Linked DNA regions of Stegostoma tigrinum. The protein of the gene in region 1 interacts with the protein of each later gene in a pairwise test. Links are inferred from orthologs where the notes say so. Each region holds a gene or a part of one and is shown on either strand. Other genes may lie near its edges.

Region 1 (7,790 bases):
CATCAGAGAGGGGGATGGGGAGAGGGAACTGGAATAAATAGGGAGAGAGGGGGAGGCGGACCGAAGATGGAGAGTAAAGAAGATAGGTGGAAAGAGTGTTGGTGGGGAGGTAGGGAGGGGATAGGTCAGTCCAGGGAAGACGGACAGGTCAAGGAGGTGGGATGAGGTTAGTAGGTAGCTGGGGGTGCGGCTTGGGGTGGGAGGAAGGGATGGGTGAGAGGAAGAACCGGTTAGGGAGGCAGAGACAGGTTGGACTGGTTTTGGGATGCAGTGGGTGGGGGGGAAGAGCTGGGCTGGTTGTGTGGTGCAGTGGGGGGAGGGGACGAACTGGGCTGGTTTAGGGATGCAGTAGGGGAATGGGAGATTTTGAAACTGGTGAAGTCCACATTGATACCATATGGCTGCAGGGTTCCCAGGCGGAATATGAGTTGCTGTTCCTGCAACCTTCGGGTGGCATCTTTGTGGCACTGCAGGAGGCCCATGATGGACATGCTTCAGGACATGGTCAAGCAGTTTCAAGGCCGAAGAGATTACAAGAGAGTTGCAATGGGAGAGAGATTCCCTGAGGTTGGTCCGGAGGGAGGAGGGTAAATGCTACACCTGTCCCCACACCTTCTCCCTCACCCCCATCCCAGGCCCCAAGATGACATTCCACATTAAGCAGAGGTTCACCTGCACATCTGCCAATGTGGTATACTGCATCCACTGTACCCGGTGCGGCTTCCTCTACATTGGGGAAACCAAGCGGAGGCTTGGGGACCGCTTTGCAGAACACCTCCGCTCAGTTCGCAACAAACAACTGCACCTCCCAGTCGCAAACCATTTCCACTCCCCCTCCCATTCTCTAGATGACATGTCCATCATGGGCCTCCTGCAGTGCCACAATGATGCCACCCGAAGGTTGCAGGAACAGCAACTCATATTCCGCCTGGGAACCCTGCAGCCATATGGTATCAATGTGGACTTCACCAGTTTCAAAATCTCCCCTTCCCCTACTGCATCCCAAAACCAGCCCAGTTCGTCCCCTCCCCCCACTGCACCACACAACCAGCCCAGCTCTTCCCCCCCACCCACTGCATCCCAAAACCAGTCCAACCTGTCTCTGCCTCCCTAACCGGTTCTTCCTCTCACCCATCCCTTCCTCCCACCCCAAGCTGCACCCCCAGCTACCTACTAACCTCATCCCACCTCCTTGACCTGTCCGTCTTCCCTGGACTGACCTATCCCCTCCCTACCTCCCCACCTACACTCTCTCCACCTATCTTCTTTACTCTCCATCTTCGGTCCGCCTCCCCCTCTCTCCCTATTTATTCCAGTTCCCTCTCCCCATCCCCCTCTCTGATGAAGGGTCTAGGCCCAAAACGTCAGCTTTTGTGCTCCTGAGATGCTGCTTGGCCTGCTGTGTTCATCCAGCCTCACATTTTATTATCTTGGCCGAGATCTTAGTTTGTTTGTATAATCCCATTTAGATTTGCAAGTAAATCCATTTAAGAAAACACCAGCAAGACATGAGTCTTAAACAAGATGAAGGTTTGTTTATTACAAAACATTGCTTCAAGTTCCTTAAGTAAAAGTAATAAAGTAACTTTATTGAAATAAAATTCAAGTCAGATTTTTATGATATTGTTGCAGGTCTGTACTTTGCAGGTAAATGTTGGTTATCTGAAGTGAGGGTTAAAATCAAAGAGTTATAATGTCTTCTGAAATAAAACAGTCAGAGTTTAACTTTGTAGGTTCACTCAAAAGTTGGACAAATTGGCTGAGCAGTTTAAGGAAGTGAGTAAAGGGCTTCTTTTTACTAGTTCTGGAACAACAACATTTGAAAACTATTGGGATTTCTTTTCAACAGAACAGGGATGGATTGCTGAACACCTTCCTCAATAACTTACAGTGAGTGAAAACCCAACTCTCACACGCAAGTCATTTTGTTCAATCGAGAACTGTGGCCTGCAGCTGTCTTCACAGGTTCTCCTGAGATCTCTGTGCACAATGACTGACTGCATCCCATCCAGACCCTTTGTTTTAATTTGAATCAATCTGTTTTGATACATTATGAGAGATCTCTGGAACAGGTAGGACTTGAACACTTGCCTTCTGCCTCAGGGATAGGAACACTGTCACTGCACCACAAGAGCTTCAGACATCCAGACTATCTGATCCAAATCAGCCGTATTCCAAACATTTGAATCGTGCTTCCATATTAGACATTGGGTTAGCTCATGTCTGAAGCATAGTCCCATTCATTTCTTTTAACCTTTTAACTTGAGACAATTAAGAAGTTAATTTGAAGAGCTTCCATTCTTCTAGGTTTGGTGAGATAGGATAGAGCTATTTAGATACCCAGGGAAGTTATTGTCAATGAGTTTCTATTTGTCCTGATGGAAAAATTAATTAAAAGTTAAACACTAGTGATGCTTTTTGAGAAAAGTCCAATCAGTTTCCTCCAGCTGGCTAATTGAAGTTGAACTCACGAGAAGTCGTGTTACCTTTTGGTATACATGTTTGAAAGCTCGTGTATCCATTTTTTAAAGTACAATAGTTTGTTACAATCTATATAACATGTTTCTGACAAAATAAATTAGCACTTCCTTGGAAACAAAAATAAATTGCTGGAAAGCCTAAGTAGGTCTGGCAGCATCTGTGGAGAGAAAGCAGACTTAACAACTCAAGTCCAGTGACCCTTTTTGCGAACTGTAGCACAATTGTTATATGTGCTAAAGATGGTATCAGGGGAGGAGTAAGTGATCAATGGTGGTGGAGCCCGAGAGAGAAAAAACACTAATGGGCTGACAGAGGAATGGGTAAAGGCAAGCCTGAGAGAATCAATAGCTGCTAATGGGGAACTTTAATGGCTGACAATGGGTAGCAGCCCACGTGATGATAATGCCTGATGTGCAGGGGTTGGGGTAAGGACATGAGAAAAGGGTTTTAACCCCTTCAATGATTGAACTTGATATTGAGACCTGAGGCTGCAAGAAATGTTGTTCTTTCCTGTTTTCACTGAACTTCATTAAACACTGCATTAAGCCCAAGACAGAAGTTAGCCAGGGAACATGGTGAGGTGTTGAAGTGGCAGGCAACAGGAAGCTCGGTGTCAGAACGTAGGTATTCTGCAAAGCAGTTGTCTAGTCTACATTTCATCTCCCCTGTGTACAGGAGATCATAACTGTGAGCAGAGAATACAGCAGTCTAGATTCAGTGAAGTGCAAGTAAATTACTGCTTAATTTGGCAAGTGTGTCTGGGGCCTTGGATTGTGAGGCAGGAGAAGTAAACAGACAGGTGTTACACCTTCTGTGATTGCATGGGAAGGTGCTGTGGGACTGACAGCAAAGGTCCTATGAGCTGAAGTGATATTAAGTACAAAGGAAGATTCTTATAATTGTTGGAGCCTTGGTCACCCCGCAGACATGTCCATAATCACAATTACATCACATCCTTGTACAACTGTTTGCACTTTTTATTTGTCTTAGTGCAAATGCTCTGTGTATTCAACTAAACACCTCTGACATTTAAAACAAAATTGTATGCTAGCCTATTTGTTGTTAGCCCTTGTTTCCCCTGTCTTCCACATTTCTATTTCTCATTTCCATCTTTGTTTCCCTCAGTCTTCCTTCCCCACTCAGGTTCCTGTCCTCTTGCCACTCGAGTTTAAAGACTTCCCTATGTACAAACAAATGTGAGCATATTGATGCCATTTCTGCAGTGGTGCAATTTATCCAGCTTGTACAGGTCTCTTCTTCTCCAGAATTGGTCCCAATGCTTCAAGAATCTAAATCCCTTTCTTCTACACCATCCTTCTGCCACACAATCATTCGGTCTATTTGTTTCATCTCCCCTTGGCCTTCTCAAGAAAAACACCCAACAGCTCCAATCTATCCTAACTGAACTTTCTTGTTGGAGGAACTATTTTCATAAGCCTCTTCTGCACGTGCTTCTTAAAGTGTGGTATTCAGAATCATAGACAATAGTCCAGCCGAGGTCTAACCAAGTGTCTTATATAAATTCAGCATATCTTAATCTATGGCCCTTTTATTAATCTTTTAAAATTTTATATGTTTTATTAACTGTTCCTGTCTGTTCTGTCACCTCTAATGACTTAAGCATTTTACACCACAGCCTCTCTGCTCGTACACAATCTTTGGAATAGTACCATTTGCTTTATAAGGTCTCTCCATGTTCTTTGGATCAGTTTTCCACATGAAGCAAGGACATTGGGGACATTTAAGAGACTGCTGGACATGCATATGGTCACAGAAATTTGAGGGTGCATACATGAGGATCAATGGTCGGCACAACATCGTGGGCTGAAGGGCCTGTTCTGTGCTGTACTGTTCTATGTTCTATATCCAGTCAAGCAGATTGATTGAGCTTCGTTCTATCTGACATGGCTGAAGAGTTCAGCTTACATTTTTGTGCTCAACAACCGACATAGAGATTGAACCCAAAACTCTGAAATCTAGAGATAAGAGTTACACCAATTGGCCTACGAGAGCCATGTTTTTTCCCACCACCTTAATTATATTTTCCCACATCATTCTGAAGAGAGTGTGTTTGAACGTACCCACGTCTCCGACCGTAAATGGTCCCCCAAATGCCCTGGTCCTCCCATACCTTCACTTTCAACGGGTCATCCTAAACATTGGCCTCATCCCCCTCACAATGCCCTATGACACTGATCTTCCCATCCTCTCACAACCAAAATCTTCCTCCATCAACGCATGTCCCCTCCGTCTAGACCCTTGCTGACTGAGTCTTCCTCCGTAATCCTCCAGTATCCCAACATGCCGCAGCTGGAAGGCCGGTAACTTCCTCTCCTGCTGACCCGAGCCGCAGTTAACCCGCGGAATCGATGATCAGTTTAAAAGGAGTGAGCGGAAGCTACTTTCACCTATCAATTTCTCCCGGTTTAACGGCAGTTTCGATCCGGTAGCTAGCTTGCTTTTAAAACAGTTTTTTTTGTTTATCGGATGGTGTTTCCTCTGTGTGTGGGAGGGAAGCTGGTTGTGACCACGAGAAAGCGGCGTCTTCCGCACCAGGGCACTACAGAACTAAGGCCACGGTTCAGCTCGTCCAGAAATACAGGATGACAACTGGATTTGGTTTCGGTACCACGGCCGGTAACACTGGCGGCTTCACTCTCGGAGTGTCCAGGTAAATACCTCATGGCGACGTGTCTGTGGCTTTTGTTCCGTTTCATTTAAGCTGAGAACTGATGGGTTGAGTTTATAAGCAAACTTGTGTCCGAGTTACAAAGTTACCTAAGTCATGCCTTCCACAAAATAAATAGCATGACTTGTTCCGATAAGTCAGTACACATTGTTTGTGATCAATTTTAAAATCATCTCAAGTTCTCCAGTTTACTGATGGTCTTAGTTTTTATCTCAAGTATTGTGCGTTTTGTGAATTATTGCACCAGACTTCTTATTGTGCATTAAATTGTGTTAAACTTTTCCCATAGTAATCGTTGGCGAACAAAACAAAGTCATTCGAGGCGTTGTGCCCATGCTTGTAAGAGCTTTGCTAGTCCGCTCCCCATATTTACTTGGATAGTTTTTTTTATCCCTTCAAATAATTTTCTGAGATTAATAAGGTGTAGAGCTGGATGAACACAGCAGGCCAAGCAGCATCAGAGGCTGAAGAAGGGTCAAGGCCTGCAACGTCAGCCTTCCTGCTCCTCTGATGCTGCTTGGCCTGCTGTACTCATCCAGCTCTACACCTTGTTATCTTAAATTCTCCAGCTTCTGCAGTTGCTACAATCTTAGAAACAATTTTCTGAATCTCTTTCGAAAGTCACTACTGATTCAACCTCTGCCATAGTCACAGGAAATGCATTCCCGGAACTAAATAATTCATTAAGAGTACCACTTGTATCCCCCTAGTCCTCACAGATCACCCCACCAACCTCCGGATACAATGCATCATCCTCTGACACTTCTGCCATCTACAATCTGACCCCACCACCAAAGACATTTTTCCAACTCCACCCTTGTCTGCCTTCCAGAGAGACCACTCTCTCCGCGACTCCCTTGTCTGCTCCACACTCTCCTCCAACCCCACCACACCCAGCACTTGCCCCTGCAACTGCAGGAACTGTTACACCTGCCCCCACACCACCTCCCTCACCCCCATCCCAGGCCCCAAGATGACTTTCCACATCAAGCAGATGTTCACCTGCACATCCGCCAATGTGGTATACTATATCCACTGTACCCAGTGTGGCTTCCTGTACAAGTGGAGGCTTGGGGACCGCTTTGCAGAACACCTACACTCGGTTTGCAATAAACAACTGCATCTCCCAATCGTGAACCATTTTCACTTCCCCTCCCATTTCTTAGACGACATGTCCATCCTGGGCCTCCTGCAGTGCCATAATGATGCCACTCGTAGGTTGCAGGATCAGCAACTCGTATTCTGCTTGGGAACCCTGCAGCTCAATGGTATCAATGTGGATTTCACCAGCTTCAAAATCCACCCCCCCATCCCAAAACCAGCTCAGCTCATACCCGCCTCCCTAACCTGTTCTTCCCCTCACCTATCCCCTCCTCTCACCTCAAGCCGCACCTCCATTTCCTACCTACTAACCTCATCCAAGCCCCTTGACCTGTCCGTCCTCCCCAGACTGACCTATCCCCTCCCTACCTCCGCGCACACATTCTCCTCTCCACCTATCTTCTCCTCTATCCATCTTCGGTCCGCCTCCCCCTCTCTTCCTATTTATTTCAGAATCCTCTCCCCATCCCCCTTTTCTGATGAAGGGTCTAGGCCCGAAACGTCAGCTTTTGTTCTCCTAAAAATTCTGTTTGGCCTGCTGTGTTCATCCAGCTCCACACTTTGTTATCGCTAGGTCTTTACCATTCGCCTCACTTCTATGACCCCTTCTTCTTGATCCCTCTGCCAATATAACTGTTTTTAATAATCAAATTTGTCCATGTCCCTTATGATAGAATCAATCACACAATGCAGAAACAAACCCATTGGTCCATCTTGTCTGTGCCAACCAGGCATCCCAATCTGACCTAGTCCCATTTTTACCAGAATTTAGCCCATACTCCTCTAAACCTTTCCTATTTTCACAGCAATCGAGTTGCTTTTTAAAAGTAGTAATTGTACCCGCCTCCACTACTTCATCCCACAGTTCGTTCCACGCACTCTCCACCTTCCACGTGAAAAAGTTACCCCTTGGGTCCTTTCTAAATCTTGCTCTTCTCACCTTTAAACATATGCTCTCTAGTTTTGGACTCCCCACCCTAGGAAAAAGACCTTGGCTATTCACCCTCCCAGCCCCTCTTAATTTTATAAACCTCTACAATGTCACTCCTTGGCCCCTGATTCTCAAAGGAAAGAAGCCCCAGCCTATTCAGCCTCTCCTTTTAAGGAAACCCTCCAGTCTTGGTAACGTTTATATAAATCGTTTTTGTACCCTCTCAAGTTTAACAACATCTTGGAATGGAGACTAGAATTATATGCAGTATTCTAATAGTAGCCTCACTAATGTCTCCCTTTTGTCAACAGTTCCCAGGTATTAAACAATTCTGATCAAAACTCTTGACAACCTTTACTTTTCTAAGGAAAACCTCAGTTTTGCTGTCCTGTCCGTATAACTGAAGTGTCAGACTTGTAGTCATTCCTGTAAATCTTTTCTACACTCTTGGTAATGTTTCCCATCTTTCTTGTATAGATTTGACATTCACATTTGTTCATGTGGAATGTCTGTATGTTTGTAAGGATTCTGTTGTATTCCATTTTGAAACAACTGAAGCACTATAATCTATCTTGGCCTTTATCTGAC
Region 2 (7,409 bases), on another chromosome or scaffold:
GGTGGGTGTGGGGATTGGGGTGGTGTTTGGGAGGTATGTGTGGGGATTGGGGTGGTGATTGGGAGGTAGGGGAGTGGATGCTAAGGGTGGGAGTTGGGAGGTGGGGATGGTGATTGGGAGGTCGGGGTGTGAATGCTAAGGGTGGCATGGGCTTTGGGGTGGTGTTTGGGAGGTGGGGGTGTGGATGCCAAGGGTGGGGGTGGGGATTGGGGTGGTCTTTGGGAGGTAGGGGTGTGGATGCCAAGGGTGGGGGTCGGGAGGTGGGCGTGGGGATTGGGATGGGGTCGGGGGAGGGGCCGGGACTGGAAGCGGGGACAAGACGAGCGAAAGCCCCGCCCCTGATGAATATGCAGCGGTCTGTCCATTGCGGGAGGCGGGGCATTGGGGCAGCACCGCCCAGCCCCTGATGAATATGCAGCAGGTTGCGTGCCGGCTGTGGGGCGCATGGCGCGGCGTGTACGTGCTTACGTAGTGCGCTGTGTGGGGCTGATTGCTGCAGCGAGGTGTCAGTCTGATGAAGATTGGCATTCAGGTAAGCTGTCAGTCAGCGCCCGCGGCCGGCCCCGCTTCCCGCCGCCGCCGCCTGGCTGCCCGCCTCCCGCCCAGCGGGCCCGGGGCACGACGGAGGGCTGGGGGAACAAACCACCCGCTCCCGCAGCCCGTCCTCACTCAGAACGGGAGCGGCGACCAACCTCGGCCCAGCCCGGGGCCTTTCCCTTTGTGTCGCCGCCTGCGGATGGCGGCGGGGCCGGGGTAGGGGTGAGAGAGGGTGAGGCGCGCTCGTGCGCGTGCCCGTCTTTGATGCTGGGGTGACGGGACCGCGCAGCGGGGGTGGGTCGCGGGGCGCAGTCCCGCGGAGCTTCCTGGTTGGTTGGAAAATGGCGCAATTGGACAATGGCGGCGGGGCGGTCGGGTGCTTTTTTTTTCTTTTTTAATTAAAAAGCAGCAGTGGTTTGTGCGCTCTCCAGCCCGGGTTTGGGCATCAAGCAGCAGCCTAATGGACAGGCCCAGGATTTATAGCCCAGGCACACTGTAATTCAACAATAAACTACATCCTGATTAAAAATTACAGTGAAACTCAAACTGAGCTGAGAGACAAAAGCTGTGTGAGGACGCTAAATGGTTAAAGCATTAAAACAGGCTTATTGTGCCAGGCTGGATGGCATCTATACAGATAGCACTGAAATCAAAACATCAGGAAATAATATTCTTGGCATCAGACAGAAAACTCTCCTCGTCCACTCTTCATCTAATTCCCTTTGAAAACAACTTTAAATCAATAAGTGTCTTCCACATCGATTCTTTTGGCAAAAATATTATCTCTCACTTTTTGATATCCATCATTATCCACAAGGATATCCAAAGATTTGTCAACTTTAGTGATTTTTTTTTGAAGTAGGCAATGAACAAAGAGTTAACGGGCATTGCAATAATTGTAGTTTGCATGACTTTCCAGTTTTTCATCAAATGGCTCAGTGCCTTGGCAATTTCTTAATAAGAAAATGTTCCTGTTTTCACTTTCTCATTTTGTCAAATATAAACAGATCTGTGGACTGAAAATCTGTGTGCATTTTTGCAGACCATTACTGAAACACCCCTCTCTGCACACAACACCTCTGTATCCCTGCCCCTGTGTCTCCTTCAGTGTCTTCAAGGGGTTGTCACAACCTTCACACTCTGCCAACTGTATTGTTGATGTAACTTTTAAAGACCAACTCTGGTTGGATGTGTTCTGGGAAATGACTTCTCATGATCACTCACGTTTAAATACTGCTCCATAAAATCCTGGCATTGGTTGCCCAACATGTCAGTCATCACAAAGTCTGAACTTCCCAAATTTTTATGTCAGCCCCAGTTTTGACTTTTGAAAATCTGGTCTGCCTAATGCTAATTTCAAACAGGTGCTGCACAATGAAGGCCACAGTGTGTCGAGTCATAGAATCCCTGCGGTGTTGACATAGGCCATTCTGGATTGGAAGATTAGAAAAGAGAACAGATTAGCAGTTGAAATTTCTTATTTTGGCACCAAGTGTTATCCTTCAGGAGCTACAGTTATACACCATACTTTGCAGAAATTATTTGGATCGAGCAGCTGGAGATGTGATTGTGAAATTAGCAGTTTGATACCAAGTTGAAAGTAGACGTGGAAATGATACCAAATGACAAGAAGGCAAATAGATTTAATAAGACATATGAGCAGAAGAAGGCCAATCAGCCTGTTAGGTTTACTTCAGTGAGATCATAGCTAATCTGTTAACCCTCAGCTTCATTTTCTTGCATTTTCCCCATAACCCTTGATTCCCTTACTGCTTAAAAATCTATCTCAGCCTTGAATACGCTAAATGGCCCAGACTTGACAGCCCTCAGTGGTAACGGTTTCCACATTTTCCCAAATTATATTCCATCTGCCAGGTTTTTGCCTACTCACTTAATCTGACTATATTCCGCTATAGACACTTTTTGTGTCATCCACACCATTTGCCTTTCCACCTATTTTTGTGTCATCTGAAAATTTGGCTACAGCATAATTACTCATAATTGCAGACCCAGCATTGATTCCACTTGTTACGCCAAACCACTTGTTACAGGTTGTTATCCCAAAACTGCCCCCTTATCGCAAATCTCCGTCTTAGTTAGCCAATCCTCTGTCAGTACTAATACATAACGTACAACATGACTGGCTTATTAGCTGACCTGAAGTGTGGCCTTTTATCAATGTCTTCTGTAAATCCAAATACGTTATGTGCATGATTTCCCTTTCATGAACCCATGCTGATTCTGCATATCGTATTCAATATTTCTATAAGCAGTTATGTTCCATGGTGTGCAGATGTTTCATTACCATTCTAGACAACATCATCGGTGCGACCTCTAATCAAAATGTTGGTGTTCTGCTTCGTTCTGAATTTATTAGATCCTCTGGTGTGGTAGGTCTTGTCATTTACGGTTCTGTTTTTAAGCAGTGGTGTGTACACGGGGTCTATTTCTATGTATTTGTTAATGGAGTCCTGTGTTGAGAATCAGGCTTCCAGAAATTCCCTTGCATGCCTGTTGTTCGCTTTTCCCACTATAGTCACTTTGTCCCAGTTGAACTGATGTCCTCATTGGCTGTGTGTATCAAGACAAGTGTATATTGGCCATGTCTTTTTACTGCCAGCTGGTGTTTGTGTATCCCAGTCATCGGTATCCTCCCCATTTGTTCAATTTAATGTTTTTGCACTCACTGCATGCGATTCTGTGTATCACATTAGTCCTGATTACAGTCGGTATGGGATCTTCAGTCTGTAACAACATTTGACATAGTGTTGAAATAGGTTTGTGTGCAGTTAATGATCTTACGCAGACTTAGGAGTCTGGTTGTTACTTCTGATATATTTTTGATGTAGGGTAGCGATGCTAGTGTCTTCTTTTGTACCGTGTCCTCTGACTGTCATTTGTTTTGTAGGCCCCAGCGGACAAAACTTCTTGCGTATCTGTTGTCAGTGAAAACTTTGTGCAGGTGTACCTCTTCCATTCTCCTGAGATCTGGGGTGTTGCAGTGTGATACGGCTTGTTTAAATAATGTCCTAATGCAGCTCTGTTTGTGTATGGTGGGGTGGTTGCTATTAAAGTTCAGGAATAGGTCAGTGTGTGTGGCCTTCCTGTGTACACGGGTCTGGAATTCACCGTTAGTCTCTCTAGCATTACCTCTAAGAATGAGAGCTGTTTGTTGTTTTCATCCTCTTTAGCAAATTTTATACTTGCGAAGATGTTGTTAACAAGTTAATGGGTTTTTTCCCTACTTTTGTGCATTTGATTATTACAAATGTGTCGTCCATTTATATTATCCACAGTTTGAGTTGGGACACGAACGACAACCTCAGCAAGGACAGCTTACTGAAATACTAGATTTCTGCCTCACAACGCACTTCACATTCACTGGCCAAATATACAAACAGATCAACGACACATTGATGGGATCACCCATATCAGGTCTCATTGTGGAAGCAGTGATGCACAGACTGGATATCGCAGCCCTTCCTGTAATCCAGCTGAAACTGTGGATGAGATAAGTGGACAACACATTCATAATAATCAAATGCACAAAAGTTGAAAAAACCCACCAACTCGTTAACAACATCTTTGCAAGCATAAAATTCACTAGACGCAAAGAAAACAACAAACAGCTCCCATTCAAAAACAAAAGTTGCTGGAAAAGCTCAGCAGGCCTGGCAGCATCTGTGAAGAAAAAAAAAAATCAATGTTCATGTTTTGGGAAGGGTCACCAGACCTGAAATGTTAAATCTGCTTTTTTTTCTTCACAGATACTGCCAGGCCTGCTGAGCTTTTCCAGCAACTTTTGTTTTTATTCCTGATTTACAGCATCCGCAGTTCTATCAGTACTTAAACAGCTCCCATTCTTCGACGGAATGGTAGAGAGACTAACTAATGCCGAAATGAAGTGTACAGGAAGGCCACACAAATGGACAAAATCCTTAACTTCAATAGCAACCACCCCACCATACGCAAACTCTGCATTTAGGTGCTACTTAAACAAGCCGTAATATGTTGCAACAACCAAGAAATCCGAATACCCAAGAAGTTTCACCTACAAAACAAACAACAGTCAGAGAACATAGTACAAAAGAAGACACCAGCATCGCTACCATACATCACAAATATATCAGGAATGACAACCAGAGTACTGAGACCTCATAAGATTATATTGTACACAAATCTACATCAACACTACGTCAAATGCTATCAAAGACTAAAGACCCCATACCAACAGCAAACAGGATTAACGTGATATACAGAATTAAATGAATCAAGTGTAATGAAGAAACTGACGACCAGGATGCACAAACACCAGCTGGTAGTAAAAGACGCGACCGATATTCACTTGTCTTGCTACACACAGCCAATGAGGGCCATCAGTTCAACTGGGACAAAGTGACTATACTGGGACAAGCTAACAACAGACATGCAAGGGAATTTCTGGAAGCCTGGTTCTCAACACAGGACCCCATTAACAACCACATAGCAATAGACACTGTGTATACACCGCTGCTAAAAAACAGAACCGTAAGTGACAAGACCCACCATGCCAGAGGATCATATATAAATTCGGAACAGAACAAAACACCAAAGCTTTGATTAGAGGTTGCACTGATGACGTTGTCTAGAATGGTCACGAAACATCTGCACACCACAGAACAACCAGCTCAGCGAGTTAACAGGCAACTGCATTCACAACCCGAGGGACAAGTTTTCGCTAAGACCGTCAAAATATTTCTATATGCTTTGCTATTACATCCTTTATAATACAGTCTAACAACTTCTCAAAAATGGAGTGTTTGAGTTGTAAGGAGAGGCTAGGTAAGCTGAGACTTTTTCCATTGGAGAAAGGAGGTTGAGGGGTGACCTTAAAGAGGTGTATAAAACCATGAGGAGGATAGGTAAGGTGAATGGCAGACGTCTCTTCCCTAGGATGGAGGCTGTCAAGACTAGGGGGCATATTTTTAAGGTTAAAAGAGAAAGAATTTAAAAAGACATGAGAGACCATTTTTATTTTACAGAGTTGTCCGTGTGTGGAATGAACTTCCAGAGCAAGTGGTGGATGCAGGGACATTTACAACATTTGAAAGATGTTTGGATAAGTACATGGATGAGAAATGTTTGAAGGGAAATGGCCCAAGCTTAGGTAGGTAGGACTAGTTTAGTTTGGGATTATGGTCAGCATGGACTGGTTGTTTCTGTACTGTATGATTCGATAATAACAGACATTAAGGTAACTGACCTAGAGTTACCTGCTTTTTCCCTTTGCGAAATGCGTGATAAATGACAAATTAAATTTAACACAGAATGAGGCTGTTCAAGTTGGTAAAAGAATAAAGGAGCTGCTTATTCTTTGGTAAAGGAAAAATAAATAGGATTAAAGAACAATGAATCAAGTGAATGCAAATATACAAAGGTGAGGCTTTAGAGTATTTAATACTGGAGTTTATTTCTGGGAGAATGAAATACAAAACCACATTATTGTTAAATTTATATAGCACCTAATTAGCCACCACTTGGAGTAATGCTTTCAATTCTGGTGTAGTAGCCATTCTGTAAATTGGAACATAAAATGATAAGAAATTAAATCAGGAGTAGGCCTTTCAGTCTGTCAAGCCTACCCCACTATTCATCAAGATCATGACTGATCTCATTATGGTCTTGACTCTACTTTCCTATATGCCCTCTTGCCCATCTCCCCCTTGACTCCCTTACTGATCAAAAATTGATATAATATCCTTTGAACTGATTCAATGACCCAGCCTTCATTGGTCTCTGGGAAGAGCATTCAACAGACTAATGAACTACTGAGAAAAAATTCTCATTATCTCTGTCCTAATGTGAGATTTCTAACTTTTAAAATGTGATCTCCAGTTTTAAATTCTTCCAAAAGGGGAAACATCTTTCCAGCATCTATCTTGTCAGGTCTTATCACCTCACAGTACCCTAAACTCTCATAGATACAGGTCCAACCTGCTCAGCTATTCGTCAAAGACTGAGTCTGCATGCCAGGAATGACACAAATACACCTACTTTGAATGCATTTGAATAAACATATATCTCTCTTTAAGAATATTGACCAAAACCGTGCACTGTAGTCTAGCCGTGGTCCCAGCAATGCTCCGTACAGTGCAGCAAGATTTCTCTGCTTTTATATTCTATCTCATTTAAATTATAACATTTCCATTTGCCTTTCTAGTTACTTGCTGTACTTGCATACCAACTAAAATGTGATGCACAGAACTCACCAAAATACTCCAGATCAGATGGAATCTGTATTTTGCTCTAGTTTAACAGTTTGCTTGTTTTTGTACTCTGTGCACTGATAAAGCATAGAAATCTGAATGCTTTGTTAACCAGCATCAACTTGTTCTCCACCTTCAATAATTTATGTACAGGTAACTCCCGGGTTCCTCTGCTCCTACGGCTCCTTTAGAACAATACCACCACTGTTTTTCTATATTATTCCTACGAAAATGATTCACTTCACACTTCTTCACATTTGACTTCATCTGCCACCTGCCGGTTCACTTCACCAATTTATTGGTATTCTTTTGAAGTCTACATTGTCCTCCTCAGATCACAAAGTTTTCACATTCTGTATCATCATGTTTTGAAATTGTGCTTTGGCTCCCCGAAGTCTAATTAATATATGTCAAAAAGGGCAGAAGTATCACTTGCCACTAGTCAGCCCAAGCCTGGATATTGTCTTGATCTTGTTGCATTTGAACAAGGACTGCTTCAGTATCTGAGGAGCCATGATAGGTGCTGAATATTGTGCAATCATCGGCGAACATTCCCACTTCTTACCTTTTATGGAAGGAAGGTCATTGATGAAGCAGCTGAAGATAGTTGGGCCTAGGAGCACTACC
Region 3 (7,058 bases), on another chromosome or scaffold:
ATGCCTTGCGATCATTTAGAGTGAATTGCATTGGCTGAAGACGGGCATCTCTGATGTTGGGATCTGTGCAGGAGACCAAAATGGAGCATCCACTTGGCACTTCTGGATGAAAATTGTTGCAATGTTGTGTTGGGAACTCCAATCATCCAGAATGGAGATACTTCTAAAGTCTTTTCCTCTTTGTTTGAGCTGTTTAATTGTCTACCAACACTCATGACTAGATGTGGACTACAGAACTACTGAACTTCAGTATGATTTGTTGGAAACGGAATTGCTTAGCTCTGTTTATCACTTAAAGTTTTAGCTGTTTGTACAAGTCATCCTGTGTTGTGTTTTCACCAGGTTTTCTTTTAATTCATTCACAGGATGAGGGCATCCCTGGCTAGGTTGCTATTTATTTCCCATCCATAATTGGATACATTGCCCATCCATAATTGCCAAGAGGGTATTTAAGAGTCAATCACAATGCTGTGGGTATGGGTCTGGAGTCACATGTAGTCTAGACTGGGTAAGGATGGCAGTTTCCTTCCCTAAAGAACGTTAGTGAACCAAATGCATTATTCCATAATGGATTCACGGTCACCTTTAGACTCTTAATTCCAGTTTTTTTTATTGAATTCAAACTCCACCAACTGCCTGGGTCTTGGGATTAACAGCCCAATGATAATACCATTAGACAATCATCTCCCCTGGATTGGGGTAACACCTCATCTTTAGGAACAAAAACAGAAATTGCTAGAAAAGCTCAGCAGGTCTGGCAGCACCTAGGGACAGAAATCAAAGCTAATGTTTTGAGTCCAACGACCCTTCCTCAGAATTAGGGGCATCCAGGTTAGGTGGATTAGCCATGGTAAATGTGGGGATAGGGTTGGGACTTGGTCTTGGTGAGATGTTCTTTGGAGGGTCATTATAGATTCAATAGGCTGAATGACCTCCTTCTGCACTGCAGAGATTCTGTGACATGAATAAACTAGATAGGGATTTTCTTGACAATTGTTTAATGATTATCTTTTAATTCTGGATTTCATCGACATCAAATTTCACCATTTGTTGTGGTGGGACTCAAACTTGGTTCACCAGAAAATTACCTGTGTCTCTGGATTAGATAGTCCATTTACAATACCTCCACATCTCGCCTGCGCTGTCACAGAATTGTTGATTTTGATATGGGCAAAGTCAGAAGTCACATGACACCAGGTTATAGTTCAACAGATTTATTTGAAATCACACATGCTTTTGGAGCATCTCCCCTTCATCAGGTGCAGTTAAGGGGCTGCCTTCCGAAGGACTATAACCTGGTGACTTTGTCCACCCCAGTCCAACACTGGCACCTTCACATCCTTGATATAGATAGGCAGTACAGTTGATGATGATATGAGGACATATTTCTGTTATTAATGAAAATCTTCAAGGGTTGCATCTTCACCCTGCTGGACACCAGGGAGAAACCTCTTTTATAGTCAGTGCTGAGGCAGCTGTATTTGTCTAGGATAACAGCAATGTAAATCCATCAGCACTCAGCTTCTCCATTGGCAATACCTCAGCCATGCATCGCCTTGGTAACACACAGAAACTAGGTCCTTCATGGCCCCAGGCTCACCTTCTGAGGAACACAGAGGAGGTTTCTGCCTTGGACCTGCAGCATGCGGGCCCACAGGCATGAACACGATGTGGCACTTACAACAATGTGTGACTATCTCCTCTGCCTGGTGGATACTTTCGAAAGGTGGCGGCTAATAAACGCTGACAATAAAAACCCAGAGTGGACTGATCTTAACAGTCACTTCTCTGGAACATCCTGAAACCAGGCCAACTGTAGCTCTGTGCATTCGTTATATGACTTAACTAAACTGGGAAGTCCGAATGGAGGACTGTGATGTGTGGGCAGGCCAGGGTGTCCCTCGTCTTTGCCCTAGATGAGAGCATTCTCAAGATAGATAGCTGACAAGCATTCAGTCTGACACAAAACACCCTACAAATTGTCAGCTCTGCTATAACATAGTAGTCTGTGTTCCCCTGCATGGTCACATTATAGAAAATCGTGCTATAGAAATAACAGGATCTATGAGAAAAGTGGAGTTGAGGCAAACTACCAAAATTATCACTCAAAATCATTTGAAAATCACTCAAAAGCCTTTCACAAAGGATGGCACAGTTTAAATGAAAAAATAAAAGTAAACTTAACACCTTCCCTTTAAAAAATGTCAAGATGACTTGATGGGGGAGTAGGTTTTGAGGTTGCTGTGTTGTTAATGCAGACGCTGAGGGTAATCATCATGATCTTCAGGTGCAGCTGTGGTTGCAGGGTTTGGGCAAAAAATAATTAATCCAGAAGTGGATGGATGTGGTTCATTGTCTTCTGACTGTTTCTTGGGGGGAATAAGATATCCAGTATTTGCTGCTTTGCCCTTTTTCTTCTTTCATGAAGAAACTCTTCATATGCTGCCAAGTAAGGTCTTATTCCTTGAACTGCTACCCTGCTGCATTCAGCAATGTATTCATTGTCCTTTAACAGGTGCAACTGCTTCTCAATTTCCCTCAGGATAGAAGAAAAAACAGAAGTGGAAAGCTTTCGTGGTGCTGCATCATGGACTTCACCTTCTTCATCCCCAGCTTCCATTTCCCCCTCAGCGACAAGTTGTTGTAGATCAGCTGTAGAGAGTCTTCACTGTGGGACTCAAGCAGCTCTTCAACATCTCACTCTCCACTTCTTCAAATCCAACGTGCTTTGCAAATTCAACATAACGTTCTTTGATTCTAGAGAGCTCCTCTAACGCATCAAAGCCTTTAAAATCTTGAAAAAAATCTAAGAAACTTCCACCAAACTGCATGCAAACAGTCCTTGCTGACATCACCTCAGGCATCCGCGATAATGTCAACTGCATTCTCGATGTTAAAGCTCTTCCAACATTGAGGAACACTGTCCTCATCCACCGCAGTGGCTGCAATCAGCCACTGAAATGTTCGTCTGAAATAATAAGCTTAAAAGCTGCTATTGCACCCTGGTCCCTGGGTTGAAGGAGAGAGGTTGTGTTTGGTGGTAGAAATAGAACGTTGATGTTTTCAGAAACCTCACCAATGGCGGGAGGATGGCTTGGCGCATTATCCAGAATGAGGAGAATCCTGAGATCTGATTTTTTTTCCCCTACAATATTTTCTAAAAATATTTTCCTGAACATCACCAATAAGGTCATCTGTACACCAATGGAATTGCATTATAGCCACCACAAGTTCACGTTTTAGAAATAGTGTTCCCTGATTTGTCAGTCGCATTATAAACAATTCGCATTGCCAGAACATGCATTATAGCAGAACTGTTTGGTTTTATGATGCCCAGGAAAACAACTAATACAGCCAATATAAAACAACAAAGTGAGGATACTGCAAATCTGAAAGGAAAACAGAAAATGCTGGAGAAGCTCAACAGGTCACCGTGGTGGGATAGCATGGTGCCTCAGTGATTATCTTTGCTGCCTCACAATGCCAGGGGCTTGGGTTTGATTCCAGCTTTGGATGACTGCCTGTGTGGAGTTTGCATGTTTTTTTTATTAGATTCCCTATTCTCCCTGCATCTGTGTGAGTTTCTGTTTGTGGTTCTGGTTTCCTCTTATAGTCTAAAGCTATGCCCGTTAGGTGAATCGGCCATCTTATTGCAGTGGTTGCAGTGTCCAGGGTGTGTACGCTAGGTGGATTAGCCATGGTAAATTAGTCTGGGTCTGGCTCAGATGCTCTATGGAGAGTCATTGTGGACTCGATGGGCTGAAAGTCTTCTCTCCCCACTGTTGGGATTTTATGAAGTCTGTCAGTATGTGTGGAGAGAACACAGAGTTAGCATTTCAGGTCCAGTGACCCTTCTTAAAAACTATTTTGGTCTGCTCACATTGTGTTTTATCATAGTATTGCCCATCCCTGGCCAGGTGCGATGGGGGTGGACTCACGAGAACTGCGCTGCGACTTTCCACAAACAGGGACGAGACACGCCGGACAGGGCTGCGCACGCGCGCACATTGCGGTGAGGGTGGCTTCGTACGCAGGCGTGTAGCCGGCTGCAGACGCTCTCTGCGCCTGCTCAGTGATTTGAAAGATGGCGGGAGTGACGGTGGATTTGGTAACGGACGATGAAACGGACAACAAGGATTCGGGCACTTTCATCAGCGGTGACTCGGATTTGCCGGCCGTCTTCCTCTGCTCACAGTGTCGGCTACCGGTGGGAGATTCGCTGGCCTGGGTCGGAGCAAACCCGAAAGAGGACATGATCTATCTGAGCAGTGAGTGGGGGGTGGAGTTGTCCCCTAGCCCGGGGGGATGGGAGGGGGGTGTGTTCCGGTGTTTTGTGGGGATGGCTTGAAGGGGGGGAGGTGGGAGATGTATGTGTCCCAGTGTGTTGTGGGGATTGGGGGCGGAAGAATTGGTTTAGGATGCCCAGTCCACAGAGAGTGCTTGAGAGAATTCCTGCATTAATGCTGGAAATTTGGGGTGGGGGGGAACCATTTAAGTTTTTAAAATTGATGCACAAGGTGGTTAAATGACACTTTTTGATGTTTGAAATTTAGACTTTAATAAAACAAATCTGAACAAGAAATTGAAACAGAGATAATGGGAACTGCAGATGCTGGAGAATCCAAGATAACAAAGTGTGGAGCTGGATGAACACAGCAGGCCAAGCAGCATATCAGGAGCACAGACTCTTCGTCAGAAAAAAGGGAGGACGAGAGGGTTCGGAAACAAATAGGGATAGAGGGGGAGGCGGATCGAAGATGGTTAGAGGAGATGATAGGTGGAGAGGAGACAGACAAGTTAAAGGGGCGGGGATGGAGCCAGTAAAGATTCCAATATCTGCAGCAATTTTCTCATTCATTAGTCTCAATATATTTTACTCTCCTCATAGTTAATTTTGTATTAAAATATATAAATAAATGTAATTGAATAGATAAAGATACTAAAATTTGCCTTAAGTCTCTGCTAATATGACTGTGTGGGTTTTCCTTATGTTGGAAAGTCTAATGGTGAAGCAGGGATGGGGAAAAGTCATACTCACAAGTGGTGATTACATACTTTAATGAGCACTGTATTTCCAAGTTGACTAATGGTTATTTTAAAAAAAAGCCAATTAAGCATACAACTTTGTGTGCGGGAACACCATTCATGTAAGCACTGTGAATTTTGTTGAAATCACTTCAAACCTTTGTGGCTGCTGGATAAGCCATAGTAGAATGGCTTGTGTGCCAGATCTAATTGAAGTTTGATATTTATTTTGTATATTTAAGTTATAACTTTGCTTGACTCTTGTCAGGATCATAGAGTAACAGGGATAAGAAGGTTACTTCCTCAGATATGTTTTTAAGGTGAGGTTCTAAAGTGTCATACATGATATTGTATTGTCTTTTAAAGATAGATCCACTTTTATTTTGATATTGAATATTTTAGGTGGTTGAATGCACAAAGAACATGGCCTTTTGTAGGCAGCTGGTCATTGTACCTGAATTTTAGACTCGTAAGCTGATAACCTGTTGCTCTTCTCTAGGTGTTACTAACAATATCAAAGTAGACAAAGAACAGAAGGTAGACACTGCAGATGAGTCTGGTTGGTAAGTATGTTGACTTAGTGCAGATTTTTGAGTACAAGTGAAGGAAAGTCTTTTTTAAATGTGGTGGATGCAACAAAGTCCATTCATTCTATCAAATCTTTTATAGCAATTAAACTATGCTTCTGTAAGCTCATAGTCCTTTAGTTTTTAATTGTTTGAAATTATTTTTGGAAAAATTGTTTTCTTTTGGCTTTATCTTTGTCTCTTAATTCCATCTTTCTTTTCTCTTCTCCACATGATTTAACATTTGTTTAATAAAAAGTTCAAATTTGGGCCTTCTAGTTCTGTGTGCCTTGGTTGAAACTCTTCAGTTTCCTGGACACATGCTCCTTCAGCTAGTCTCAGATCCACTATGCAGAGTGCCACACCAAAATAGATTTTTAATTGCTTCGAGTCACTGCATGAAAATCCACTAAAATATCTGTGGACAGTTGTTTGCTTAGTGAATTGTGGCACTGTTTGTTTGCCTTTTACTGCAAAATTTGGACAAATATATTCCATTTATAGAGTCAGATCGATGTTGCAAGTGACTTTTCAACTGCAACCAATGTGACATTTCCTTGTGGCATCATTAAAGCAGAATGTTCAGAAAATAGGTCTTATAGGTTAACTGAACAAAATAGCATGTGTTCCCTGTTACAAAGAATCTATTTTACTGAGCAGTGTTCTAATTTTCTTCATTTAACCTTTTTCCATAAAGGAAAATTCTTCCATTTCATTCCAGTGCGTTTGTGCACTAAACATATGTTTGCAGTAACTCCAGGTATTTTCATCCTTCAAATTTCTATGAAGCTCAGACTTTTTTTACTTTTTTCAACTGGCACAGGGATTATTGACCCAGCATTAAAGTCTTTGGATTTGGCTAGGTTGGAGGTTGATTTCCTTTTGGATTTTAAAAAATGTGTTCATTCCTTCTGTTTAGAGGATGCCGGCGATATAGCTAGCAATTTTAGTGTATGTCCATTGATAGCAGACATATGGTCACTTCTTTGACAATGGAATAGAAATACAATTCAGCAAACTATTGGAAATACTGTAAAGGATGCAATATCCTATTCATTGTGGATGGACTTGATGAATAAAATGTCAGTTGCCAGAATTGGATGAATACAATGTCTGGGATTCTGTAAACATAGTAACATGTTAATCTCGTGTCCTGTAAAAATGACAAACAATCTACAAAATCTTCCAAAAGAATGGGTAGTCTAAACAAAACCGGGCGCCAATGAATAATGTTACCTTTCCAGCACTAAAACCATAAGATAGAGAAGTAGAATTAGGTCATTCAACCCTTTGAGCCTGCTCCGTTGATAGATGAGGGAAGGGCTGTAGATGTCATGTACGTGGACTTCAGTAAGGTGTTTGGTAAGGTTCCCCATGATAGGCTGGAGAAAGTAAAGCCGCATGGGATCCAGGGTATACTAGCTAGATGGATAGAGAACTGGCTGGGCGACAGGAGACGGACAGTTG

Evidence for each region.
Region 2: the proteins of nup58 (region 1) and homeobox protein PKNOX1 interact in binary tests that used the Homo sapiens proteins (3 or more experiments, as listed by UniProt). The link is inferred for Stegostoma tigrinum from reciprocal best matches to the Homo sapiens genes NUP58 and PKNOX1.
Region 3: the proteins of nup58 (region 1) and mis18a interact in binary tests that used the Homo sapiens proteins (3 or more experiments, as listed by UniProt). The link is inferred for Stegostoma tigrinum from reciprocal best matches to the Homo sapiens genes NUP58 and MIS18A.

Annotation. Positions count from the first base shown.
Region 1 is NC_081359.1:76,632,976-76,640,765, forward strand, and holds the start of nup58 (nucleoporin p58/p45), read left to right. Parts: upstream 1-4,767; 5' UTR 4,768-5,084; coding exon 5,085-5,152; intron 5,153-7,790. UniProt on the Homo sapiens protein: Component of the nuclear pore complex, a complex required for the trafficking across the nuclear membrane.
Region 2 is NC_081365.1:428,712-436,120, forward strand, and holds the start of homeobox protein PKNOX1, read left to right. Parts: upstream 1-4,307; 5' UTR 4,308-5,654; coding exon 5,655-5,683; intron 5,684-7,409. UniProt on the Homo sapiens protein: Activates transcription in the presence of PBX1A and HOXA1.
Region 3 is NC_081365.1:24,796,290-24,803,347, reverse strand, and holds the start of mis18a (protein Mis18-alpha), read left to right. Parts: upstream 1-4,042; 5' UTR 4,043-4,084; coding exon 4,085-4,268; intron 4,269-5,524; coding exon 5,525-5,588; intron 5,589-7,058. UniProt on the Homo sapiens protein: Required for recruitment of CENPA to centromeres and normal chromosome segregation during mitosis.